Linked DNA regions of Saccharomyces cerevisiae S288C. The gene in region 1 interacts genetically with each later gene. Each region holds a gene or a part of one and is shown in the gene's direction. Other genes may lie near its edges.

Region 1 (8,628 bases):
AAATCCCTGGAGGAAGTTTCTATAAATATCTGATAAATCACCCTAAAGTTAAGCCCCACTGGGACTCCTATGTGAACCATGATTTTGTTAGAAAAGTAGCAGACGGTTCCTTAGAGCCTAAGAAGTTCCAATTTTTTATCGAACAAGATTACCTGTACTTAGTCAATTATGCCAGGATTTCCTGCATCGCGGGTAGTAAATCCCCGTGTCTTGAAGACCTGGAGAAAGAGCTAGTTATTGTCGAATGCGTTCGTAATGGGCTTTGCCAACATGAAAGGAGATTAAGGGAGGAATTTGGAATTAAGGATCCCGACTACTTACAAAAGATTCAAAGAGGTCCTGCATTAAGGGCTTACTGTCGTTACTTTAATGATGTTTCCAGAAGAGGTAACTGGCAGGAGTTAGTTATAGCTCTTAATCCTTGCTTAATGGGCTATGTTCACGCTTTGACCAAGATCAAGGATGAAGTAACTGCAGCAGAAGGCTCCGTTTACCGTGAATGGTGTGAAACTTACTCATCGTCATGGTGCCACGAAGCTATGCTTGAAGGCGAAAAGCTGTTGAATCACATCTTGGAAACATACCCTCCAGAAAAACTTGATACACTGGTCACAATATATGCTGAAGTTTGTGAATTGGAAGCTAACTTCTGGACCGCCGCTCTAGAATATGAATGAATAGACACATCGATTTTTACAAAATATACAAAAAGTTATACGTAGAAATAATGAATTATGCAAAAATAGGTGTCAATAATTTAAGAATGTTCCTTCATTTTTATTAATATAGTAAAAATTGTTCGGCAGAAACCAAAATCTTCGTTCTGATTTTGGCGTTCTAGCGGCGCTACCATCCTAGTCACATACCTCAAGTATTCACCATAATTTCGTTGATAACTTATCCGGCAGAAACTTTCTCATCTTTCAGAAACCTAACACTGCAGTTGGACATTCTCGTAACATTAGCTGACAGAACTACGACAGACAGTTGCGACATAAAAAAAAAAGAATCACAACTGAACGCATCTTAGGGAAACAGTTAATGTTGGCACTGATGATTATTTGAATAGTGCGTCTTTATATATATATATTTTCTTCAAGGTATTCCTCCATCTGAAAATAATTGAGCATTCGACCCAATATAAACGTTTTCTATGCGCTAAAATTACTGCATACTATCAATAGGACTGCTATGGATCTATAATAGTTATGTAATAAAGATGAAGATATTTCAATGGTATAAAATACGCTCGATATACTATAGCCATCATTAGACGTAACTTCAACTAAGCGAGAAAGGGTATCTCTAATTATGATAATAGTCTTTGAAAGTCGTTGATAGCGATGTTAATTGAACGTATTGAAATATTGCTAGACGATGAAAAATTAAGAGTTAAACGGAAAGTGGGCTGAACAAAAAAAAGCATATAGAGAAACTAAGTCGTACAATTAAATATAGGAGTATTTTTGAAAATTGTAAATTACGAACTTGGAGGGACACAGAATGGCTTCTGCAGTGTATTTTTGCGATCATAATGGGAAACCACTCCTATCAAGAAGGTATAGAGATGATATTCCGCTTTCTGCAATTGACAAATTCCCTATATTACTCTCGGATTTAGAGGAACAATCAAATCTGATTCCTCCATGTTTGAACCACAATGGTCTGGAATATCTATTTATACAGCATAACGATCTATACGTGGTGGCAATTGTGACTTCTCTTAGTGCCAATGCGGCTGCCATTTTTACTTTTTTGCACAAATTAGTGGAGGTATTAAGTGACTACTTAAAAACCGTTGAAGAAGAATCTATTAGAGATAATTTTGTTATAATATATGAATTACTGGACGAAGTGATGGATTATGGTATACCACAGATCACAGAAACTAAGATGCTGAAACAGTACATAACACAAAAATCCTTCAAACTAGTTAAATCCGCCAAGAAGAAGAGGAATGCTACTAGACCACCCGTCGCACTAACAAATTCAGTCAGTTGGAGGCCAGAAGGCATCACTCACAAGAAAAATGAAGCCTTTCTGGATATCGTCGAATCTATTAATATGCTCATGACTCAAAAAGGTCAAGTTTTGAGATCAGAAATTATCGGCGATGTTAAGGTTAACTCAAAATTGTCTGGTATGCCTGATCTGAAATTAGGTATTAATGATAAAGGCATTTTCTCCAAATATTTGGATGATGATACAAATATCCCATCAGCGAGCGCGACAACATCCGATAATAACACAGAAACTGATAAAAAACCATCAATAACATCATCATCGGCCACAAACAAGAAGAAAGTTAATATTGAATTGGAAGATTTGAAATTTCATCAATGTGTCCGATTAAGCAAATTCGAGAATGAAAAAATTATAACGTTTATACCTCCTGATGGAAAGTTCGATTTAATGAACTACAGACTATCTACTACGATAAAACCGTTAATTTGGTGTGATGTAAACGTTCAAGTTCATTCGAATTCTAGAATTGAAATTCACTGTAAGGCCAAGGCCCAAATTAAAAGAAAATCTACTGCAACTAATGTAGAGATATTGATACCGGTCCCGGACGACGCGGATACACCGACTTTTAAATATTCACACGGGTCTCTAAAGTATGTCCCTGAAAAAAGTGCAATCTTATGGAAAATAAGAAGTTTTCCCGGTGGTAAAGAGTACTCAATGTCTGCCGAATTGGGACTGCCTTCAATATCAAATAACGAGGATGGCAATAGAACAATGCCAAAAAGTAACGCGGAAATCTTGAAGGGACCTGTCCAAATCAAATTTCAAATACCCTACTTTACTACTTCAGGTATTCAAGTACGTTATCTTAAAATTAACGAACCCAAATTGCAGTATAAGAGTTACCCATGGGTAAGATATATCACGCAAAGTGGTGATGATTATACAATAAGGCTGACGTAATGTCTGAAAAATATATAAAAAAAGCAATTTCTACGGTGCATGGACAAAGACACAGGGTACGTATGTCCTTATTCCTCTTTTTCTCCCCCCTCCCATTGACAATTATGATAATGACATAAAGTTGTTTATATATTTTTGTTTTTATATAGATGCTCATTCAGGGTTTGTTATATACATAGACATAAGAGAATAACTTTTTTTCTTTCTGTATTTCATTTTATTGTTTATAATGTTTTCCTCTACCAAGAAAATAGGGAGAAATGGAAGATAAAGAAACACTCTCCTCTATTCCTGTTGATATTCAGATTCAGGCTCGCTGTCGTTTGAGTTCGAGTCTATGCCTGATTCTCCGTTGTCATCGTCGTCAGAACCATCACTTGAAGTAGAGTTCTGTGCTTTTTCCTCGGCTTCCACTTTTAATTCATGCAAGATATCAAAACATTCTGCTAATAAAGCATTCAATATACCTTGGCCTTCAGGTATATTGCCATCAGAGTCATAGAATATACCTTCAGTTCTCAGGTTGTCCAATGAAGCCAATTTCATTTGATAAGGGTATAACTCTCTTTCATTATTCACACCTCCCATTCTTTTCAATTCTAATAGGCAACGACGAACTGTAGATAGTTGATTGTGAATTGGCTGCAACGCTTCAGATACGGGCTCTGAACTTTCCAACAGTTTATAAATTATGGCATAACATCTACGCAACAGGTATAAAAGTATTGATTGCCCCTTTGAGTCCTGAGATTTTGTTGGAAACTTACCATTGATTCTTTTGTTATCAATTTCGTTCAATTTTTTTTGGTAAGAAAATAAATCGGTTTCTCTCAAAGTCCATCTTCTTGTGATCATTAAATTTTCTAAGGTAGTCTTTATATCAATCAGCTGTTCATATATTGGCTGTAAATATGGATCTAAAGTCAACCCGCCATTTTTTTGGTGTGATAAATCGTTAACTAAATCATGGCAATCATCCAATAAACCATTAAGGACACTTTGGCCTTTTTCTGCCACCTGATGAGACTCCAAGGACTTGAATTTACCAGAATCGTCACGATTAGATTCTAATTCACTTAATTCGTTCTTCAAAACTGATAATTTCTCATGGACATACTCTTGAGATACTAAATGTTTGTCATCCGTTAAGCTTTCATTGTTCGTTTGCAAATCATTTTGTTCCTGCAATAAAGAGTTGGTATTAATATCAGATTTAGACATTGTTTTTTTAGCAGATGCAACTAATGACAATAAACCTCTTCTAATTCGGAATAACTTTTCCATTACAGTAGACAAAGACGGATCAATTTCCTCCAATTTGCCTTCCAATATATCATATTCGTCCTTGCAATGCTTTAATTTAGCACGTAGTAATAGGTCTTCCTCAATTTTATTCTTTTTCCTTTCGTTGTCGATTTCCCTTAATCGGTCATCATTTCCATCCTCATCGTACGCAGGACTAGAGTTTTTTTGTTCGACAATCTTGCTGATTTCTTCCAGCCTTTCCTTAATAGGACTCAAATCGTGATGGGTGAAGACGTTTGATTCATTTAAATGTTCCAAAAGACTCTCCACAGTAGATAACGATGCATAAGTCGCAGGTGCAGAATTTTTTAGCCCAACAGTTAAAAAACACAACGAGAGCAATTGAAAGACATCATCCAGTACGGAGTCAACTCTATTATGCAATTCAGTACTATGAATCAGGGTGGCGGCGCTCTTAGCGGGCGTCTCATGACTATTCTTCCTAATATCGTCCAACTCTCTGACTTTGGTCAAGACGTGTTGGTAAGTAGTTTGGACATCCTTAGAGTTCAAATACTGGGTCCTATTTTGCTTGAGTTTAGCCAAGGAGGATCTCACTTCAAGGAGGTAGTTTAATATGGATTCCTCTTCCTTAGGAACAATTTGAGGGTGTTGTTGTCCAGCGGATGCAAACATGCTCTTTTTAGACAGTTATTCTCTTCTAATACAATTTCAGCGTTTTAAAAATTGGGAAAGTCCTCGAAGATTTAGTAGTTCTTTTCCTTTGCTTTTGTTTGTTTTTAAACCGATATTTGCTGCTAAACTTCTTAAAGAGATTTGCTCTTCTGGTGTACTCTCTTATTCGTTATCATTTCTGAAAATTCCCCTTTCCGTGATGCGGGTAATACTAGGTCCCTTACCCGACGACAAGAAATTAAAAAATGACGCAAAATATTCATTTATGAACTATTTTATTATAACTTGTATAGGAATAATAATGTAGTGATGTAAATTTATGGGCCCCATTAAGCCATCAAAAATGGAATGTATGCCTATGCTCCTCTTCTGACATAACTGGCCAGAGGCGGGACCTTAGCGGAGGGACCATTGCTGAATCACAAATTCTCTCCACTTCCTTATTTTCCTTCATATAATAAGACATAAAAAACTTGTATATTATTAGGTATTTAGCTCGTTTATTTAGGACCTAGCATGTGTTCAGGAACAACCCATTCATCAAATTCCTTTTCAGTCAATACACCCAATTCCAATGCACTTTCCTTCAAGGTAATGCCCTTCTTATGAGCATTCTTGGCGACCTTGGAAGCGGCATCATAACCGATCTTAGGGTTCAAAGCGGTGACTAACATTAAAGATTTAGTCAACAACTCATGAATACGAGGCTCATTGGCTTTGATACCTTCAACACAGTGCACTCTAAATGAATATGCGGCATCAGTAATTAACCTGATCGAATTCAATAGATTGGCGATCATGACTGGCTTGAAGACATTTAACTCGAATTGACCTTGAGAGCCGGCAAACGTGATAGCTGCATTGTTACCCATGACTTGCACACACACTTGAGTCAATGCCTCGTTTTGGGTTGGGTTAACTTTACCAGGCATGATTGAGGAACCTGGTTCATTCTCTGGCAGCATTAGTTCATGGTAGCCGCAACGTGGCCCGGACCCTAAGTATCTTATATCTTGCGCTATTTTGAAAAGAGAACAAGCAAGGGTGTTTAGAGCACCGCTACATTCGACAATGGCGTCGTGAGCAGCCAAAGCCTCGAACTTATTAGGGGCGGTTTGAAACTTTAGTCCAGTTTCTTTGGAAATTTGCTCGGCTATCTTGACATCGAATCCGGGCTTGGTGTTCAACCCTGTACCAACGGCAGTACCACCTTGTGCCAGGAAACTCAATGTTTTCAAAGAATGTGCCACTCTTTGGATACCGTTCTCAACTTGTTGCACGTAACCGGAAAACTCTTGACCTAGTGTCAAAGGCGTGGCATCTTGCAAGTGTGTTCTACCGATCTTCACAATATGGTCAAATTCCTTGGATTTGGCTTCAAGGGCGTTCTTTAAATTGGTCAACTCAGGTATCAACTCGTTTTGAATTTGCAAACTGGCAGCGATATGCATGACAGTGGGGAAAGTATCATTGGATGATTGAGATTGGTTGCAATGATTGTTTGGATGGACTTGTTTAGATCCAATCTTGCCTCCTAGGATCTCAATGGCACGATTGGAAATAACTTCATTAGCATTCATGTTAGACTGGGTACCGGAACCCGTTTGGAAAACAACCAATGGAAAGTGGTCGTCTAGCTTACCAGAAGCCACTTCGTCAGCGGCCTGTTGAATAGCCTTGGAGATCTTGGGATCCAATCCCCCCAGAGACTCATTCACAATCGCGGCAGATTTCTTCAAAACACCAAATGCATGCACCAAAGGCAATGGCATTCTTTCACGAGCGCCACCAATCTTGAAGTTTTGAAAGGATCTTTGAGTTTGGGCACCCCAGTACTTATCAGCAGGCACGTGTATCTCACCAAATGCATCGGTTTCAGTTCTGAACGAGGAGTTCATTCTTCTTATATTAAGCTTATATGACGATTTTACGAAAGTCTTGCAACTACAATTGGTAAATCTCAACATGATTGTATCTCTTATCCGTTTAATAGTTAGACTTTATGGAATTTCTTGACGTGAGAAAAAAAACAGCTGCAGTACTAAAAGTCACGAATTTAAAAATGCAAAAAAATGACTGTATGTAATGGAGAAACGATATGAATATCCCAGAAGAAAGAGCTAGAGTCACTCCCCCGTGTGTTCGGTCCGGCCTCCTGTTGGATGCTTGTTTAACGTCTACAACAGTGATGAAGATTATATATAGCCTATAAGAAACGCAAAAAGGCTTTACAGGAAAGAGCCAATCATCGAACGCCCATTCCGGGAATCGGGGTAGTCATTCCGAGGATCGGCTCAGGGGAGGGGCCTGAAGCCTCTCCAATATGGTAGTGATAGCAAGAACTAGAGACATTTACTGCTAGCTTCCATAGCTCTCTAACCACAGGGTACGAATAATAACCATTATTAGGTACTGACATTATGATGTCGCCCGCGGCGATTCGGAAGGGTTTAAGGACACGTCTTAACAAATGGCATTACAGAATGGCTATAGGCGACTCACTACTATGTATTGACTATGTAGGAGATACCAAGCTTTGCTTTACGAGCCCTCTTTACTTTTTTTCTTGTATAGTTATAGTTAATGTAGTAGTCGCAATAACTGCGGTAGTAGTACTAACATCAGTAAAAGTAACGCTTGGTAGTTTTTCTGCCCGGTTTAACCATTGATTTGATGAAATTGTAGAAAACTGAAAAAAAAAAAAAAAATGAAAAAAAAAAATGATGAGCTTCTCGAAGAATACATTAACCACTTATAGGAAGGAGAAGAGATCTACTAGACTCGTAGAAGTGATTAATGGCAAAGAAGAATAAGAAGGATAAAGAGGCCAAAAAGGCACGTGCTGAACTGAAGAATCAGAAAAACCAAAAAAAGCAGGAGAAAAAGTTTCAGAAGAACAAGAATAAGTCTTTAAACGGCGAAGAAGATGATGAAAGTGATCAAGATCTCGATGAAATTCTCTCTAGCTTTAGCAAAAAGCAAATTGAATTAGAGCATGTAGACATCACTTCTGTGGAAAAACCCTCTTGTCGTACTCATCCGTTGATGTTTGCAAATCCGCAACACAATAAACATGAATTGTTCATTTTCGGTGGTGAATTTACAGATCCAGAAACCAAACTAACACATTTCTATAATGATTTGTATTCATACTCCATAAAGAACAACTCTTGGAAAAAATACGTTTCGCAAAATGCACCTTTGCCCAGATCCAGTGCCGCTGTCGCTGTGCATCCTTCCGGAATAGCACTGTTACACGGTGGTGAATTTTCGTCCCCAAAACAATCTAAATTCTACCACTATTCTGATACATGGCTGTTTGACTGCGTTGAAAGGAAATTCACTAAGTTGGAGTTTGGCGGTAGAGACTCTTCACCCAGCGCCAGATCAGGTCATAGAATTATTGCTTGGAAAAACTATTTCATATTATTTGGTGGATTTAGAGATTTGGGGAATGGTCAAACTTCTTACCTAAATGATTTGTGGTGTTTTGATATCTCAACCTACAAATGGACCAAATTGGAGACAAACAGCAAACCTGACGCTAGATCGGGTCATTGTTTCATTCCTACAGATAATTCTGCCATATTAATGGGTGGTTACTGTAAAATCATTGCCAAAAATAATAAAAATTTAATGAAGGGAAAAATCTTGAATGATGCATGGAAACTGAACTTAACGCCTGATCCAAAGAAGTGGCAGTGGGAAAAATTAAAGAATTTCAAGAACCAGCCCTCACCAAGAGTCGGGTATTCG
Region 2 (4,563 bases), on another chromosome or scaffold:
GACAACGAGCAATACTGTACCAATGACCACGTTTTGACTATGTGGACTCCTTACAAGGACGGCTACATTTCACAAGGAGGCTTTGCCTCCCACGTGAGGCTTCATGAACACTTTGCTATTCAAATACCAGAAAATATTCCAAGTCCGCTAGCCGCTCCATTATTGTGTGGTGGTATTACAGTTTTCTCTCCACTACTAAGAAATGGCTGTGGTCCAGGTAAGAGGGTAGGTATTGTTGGCATCGGTGGTATTGGGCATATGGGGATTCTGTTGGCTAAAGCTATGGGAGCCGAGGTTTATGCGTTTTCGCGAGGCCACTCCAAGCGGGAGGATTCTATGAAACTCGGTGCTGATCACTATATTGCTATGTTGGAGGATAAAGGCTGGACAGAACAATACTCTAACGCTTTGGACCTTCTTGTCGTTTGCTCATCATCTTTGTCGAAAGTTAATTTTGACAGTATCGTTAAGATTATGAAGATTGGAGGCTCCATCGTTTCAATTGCTGCTCCTGAAGTTAATGAAAAGCTTGTTTTAAAACCGTTGGGCCTAATGGGAGTATCAATCTCAAGCAGTGCTATCGGATCTAGGAAGGAAATCGAACAACTATTGAAATTAGTTTCCGAAAAGAATGTCAAAATATGGGTGGAAAAACTTCCGATCAGCGAAGAAGGCGTCAGCCATGCCTTTACAAGGATGGAAAGCGGAGACGTCAAATACAGATTTACTTTGGTCGATTATGATAAGAAATTCCATAAATAGTCTATATACGTAATATTTTTCAGAATCTCTTAAAATGCATGTCAAATCTCGGAATTTATCATGACCCATTACATAACAAGAGAAAAGTGGTTTGCATTGTATGTATACCTTAAACCAATTCTTCGGTAGTCACATGACCTATATATAGGGACATTCATTTCTTGAATAGGATATTTCTTAAACTTAAGGGAAATTTTGATGAAAATTTAGAATCTCTCGACAACAGTGCAGAGCAGTAAGTTTTATTCAATACGAAATGTGTGCAGGGTTTTACCCATTCATGTCGAGTACGTCTACATTTGTTCTGCGATTTAACTTAATACTTAGCCTACTCATATGTATCGAAGCCAAACTATTAAATCTGAAAACTGAATACCCATTAAGTAGGTACATTAATGCAATTTTCGTCCGAAAGGTAGAGTGTTAATCATGCTTTTACTTCGAAATCTAGAGTCCGAGCATGTCTGATGAGGTCCTCTTAAAGCACTTCAATTTTAAAAGAGAAGAGCGCAAATTTTTACAAAGAATGCCTATATTAATATACTGTGCTATCTAAGAGGATGGTTCAATGGTTTGAAATGAGTTGAAAAATAAAGATTTACATAGTAGCGTGTATTCTTCACATTTTTGCATTCGGTAGATTTTCTACTCAAGACCCGTGCAGATCACTATTACACTCATTATTACAAGTCATTGAGAACGAAATTTTGACATCATTACTAATAATGTTACTCATTAATACTTTATTAATGTAAGCGGTAGATAAACAAATGAACATGAAATTGGCTGCTGAAATGCTCTGATGGATTCGATTACAGTAAAAAAACCTCGGTTAAGATTGGTTTGCCTGCAATGCAAAAAGATCAAACGGAAATGTGATAAACTGCGGCCTGCTTGCTCGCGATGCCAACAAAATTCATTACAGTGTGAATATGAAGAGAGAACAGATTTATCTGCCAATGTTGCAGCAAACGACTCTGATGGATTCAATTCCTCTCATAAGCTCAATTTCGAACAGCAACCTGTACTTGAAAGGACTGGGCTTAGATATTCCTTACAAGTGCCTGAAGGTGTCGTTAATGCTACGCTGTCGATATGGAACGCCGAAGATATGCTAGTTATAGTAGGATTAGTTACATTTCTGGATTATCCTTTTGCTGCGCATAGTCTGGCGCAACATGACCAGTATATCAGGGCACTTTGTGCTTCGTTGTACGGCATGGCGCTTGTTGACTTTAGCAATTATGCTAATGGTATTCCTTGTGAAGACACATCAAGAAGTATACTAGGACCATTGTCATTCATAGAAAAGGCCATTTTTAGACGGATAGAACATAGTAAGCAATTTCGAGTTCAGTCTGCCGCCTTAGGGTTATTATACAATGCATTTTCAATGGAAGAAGAAAACTTCTCGACTCTTCTACCGTCACTCATCGCTGAAGTGGAAGACGTGTTGATGCAAAAAAAAGACTGTGAAATACTTTTGAGGTGTTTCTATCAAAATATTTATCCCTTCTATCCTTTTATGGACATTTCACTCTTTGAGAGCGATCTCACTAGTTTGCTTTTACAAGACGACAATAATCGTTGGAAAATTAGTACTGAAGTTAAAAATGTGCGCAAAAAAATAGAAACTTTGTCATTACTTACAATAGTAATGGCCATGGCCTTGATGCATTCAAAATTGGATGCAAATCTTCTTTCAATGGTAAAAGAAAATGCCTCCGAAAGTGCCAGGAAACTTTCTCTTTTATGTCATAAACTATTATGCCTCCTGGATGTATTTCGCTATCCAAATGAGAACACTTTTACTTGCCTTTTATATTTCTACGTTTCAGAGCATTTAGATCCCGAGAGTCCCGATTGTGTACTGAGCCCCACTAACTTGCTTACTCTGCACCATCTTTTAAATTTGTCCATGACCTTAGGTCTTCAATATGAGCCTTCGAAGTACAAACGTTTCAAAGATCCAGAAGTGATAAGGCAGAGACGGATATTATGGTTAGGAGTTCAGTCATTACTTTTTCAAATTTCTCTTGCTGAAGGTGATGCTGGTAAATCAAATAGTGAATATATGGAGGCATATTTAACAGACTTCGAAGAATATATTGAAGCTTCCTCAGAGTATGAAAAAAGTTCTGCGAGTGAATCGAACGTGCAAATGAATGATATTGTTTGGAATAAGTACAAATTTCACGTCATTTTGAGTAAACTAATGTCTGATTGCACTTCAGTTATACAACATCCGCAGCTTTTCCACATTTTAGGAAATATTAAAAGATCTGAAGATTTTATGGCTGAGAACTTTCCTACAAGTTCGATTTACCAACCCCTTCATGAAAAGGAACCAAATGCGATCAAAGTTGGCAAAAGTACGGTTCTCGATGTCATGGATATTCAAAAAACTGAAATATTTCTTACAAATATTGTGGGAAGTATGTGTTTTTTAAACATTTTTGATGTCCTATCGTTACATTTTGAAAAAAAATGTGTTATGCACTGGGAAGAATATGAAAAGAACTATCATTTCCTTACTTTGAAAAGTTTCAATGCATACTTAAAGCTAGCAGGGTTGATATCTGATTATCTCGAGAATAAGTTTCAAGGGAACATTTTAGAGAGTCGCGGTTATATCATAGATAAACAAATATGTTTTATGCTTGTAAGGATCTGGATGTTCCAATGTCGTATTTTGTTAAGGTTTTCATACAAGCAAGAAAGTCAGAAAAAATTGGCCTCTTCCAGTATATCCACTAACGATAATGAAAAAGAAGATGAAATGATTGTCATTTTAGAAAGACTTATTAAACACATTCGTAACCAAATGGCACATTTAGTGGATCTAGCAAAGGGAAAACTTCAAGATAGTTACTTTGGTGCTTACCAAACTGTTCCCATGTTTAGATACGTTGTGTATTTGATCGATGTTGGCGGCTTAGTATCTGTGACAAATGGGTTTTGGGATAAGATTTCCAGTGATGGTGAAATACCGCCAAAAGTACAACAAGCCGTGAGATTGAAATGGGGATTGGACTGCAATAATTCGAGAAGAATCAAACAAAAGTTAATAAGCAGCCAGAGTTTGCAGAGTTTCAATCAAGTTCTGTTGTGCCAGATGGAGGATGCAGTTCTCTCCAGTTCCTTCGCAATAAAAGCCAATACCGCTATGTCCCAAAACACGGCTGAAGAATTTTTCAATATCAGCGAAGAAGAGGCTTTAAATCAACTATTGGAAAACAACAATTTTGATGCCTTCTGGGATTTATTAGGTGAAAATCTGAGCGATATGCCTTCTTTGTGAGAATACGGATATTTGGAAAGGCTAAAAAAAAAAAAACAAGCCAAAAACAAGAAACACTGTTATCCTCCACGTTTTTTCCACTGTTTTAAGACTCGACAAGACGGAAAGATTCCTCACATTTCGCAGTGTTTCTTTTAACCTGCTCGTCAATTTGAAAAAATGAGCATGGTTAGGCAGGCGGAATGTAATAGGTGCGGTGCGTATAAATAAGTATCTCGGCCGTTCCTCTATTGCGCTCGGCCGAGATGTCCTACATGCATAAAATAGATTAAAAAAAGGGATCACGATACTCAAATATGCATATAATAACAACAACACACTTTGCGGTAAATAGAAGGATAATATCGTAATCTTTTGCTGGTTTCGATGATGACTTGAAAAAATTCAATTACTCTTTCGATCATCTAGAAGAAGCATATCCATCGTGCTTAAAATGATTGGGTCCGCGTCCGACTCATCTAGCAAGTTAGGACGCCTCCGATTTCTTTCTGAAACTGCCG

The links.
Region 2: mutations in APM1 (region 1) and RDS1 together harm fitness more than expected from each alone (negative genetic interaction), as found in Saccharomyces cerevisiae (one large-scale study listed by BioGRID).

Annotation. Positions count from the first base shown.
Region 1 is NC_001148.4:45,547-54,174, reverse strand, and holds APM1 (Apm1p), read left to right. Parts: upstream 1-1,503; coding exon 1,504-2,931; downstream 2,932-8,628. Other genes in the region: THI21 (bifunctional hydroxymethylpyrimidine kinase/phosphomethylpyrimidine kinase), read left to right, coding at 1-677; CUB1 (Cub1p), read right to left, coding at 3,217-4,872; YPL261C (uncharacterized protein), read left to right, coding at 4,871-5,179; fumarase FUM1, read right to left, coding at 5,373-6,839; KEL3 (Kel3p), read left to right, coding at 7,669-8,628. UniProt on the Saccharomyces cerevisiae protein: Component of the adaptor complexes which link clathrin to receptors in coated vesicles. Clathrin-associated protein complexes are believed to interact with the cytoplasmic tails of membrane proteins, leading to their selection and concentration.
Region 2 is NC_001135.5:309,394-313,956, forward strand, and holds RDS1 (Rds1p), read left to right. Parts: upstream 1-1,564; coding exon 1,565-4,063; downstream 4,064-4,563. Other genes in the region: ADH7 (NADP-dependent alcohol dehydrogenase), read left to right, coding at 1-762; AAD3 (putative aryl-alcohol dehydrogenase), read left to right, coding at 4,497-4,563. UniProt on the Saccharomyces cerevisiae protein: Zinc cluster transcription factor involved in resistance to cycloheximide.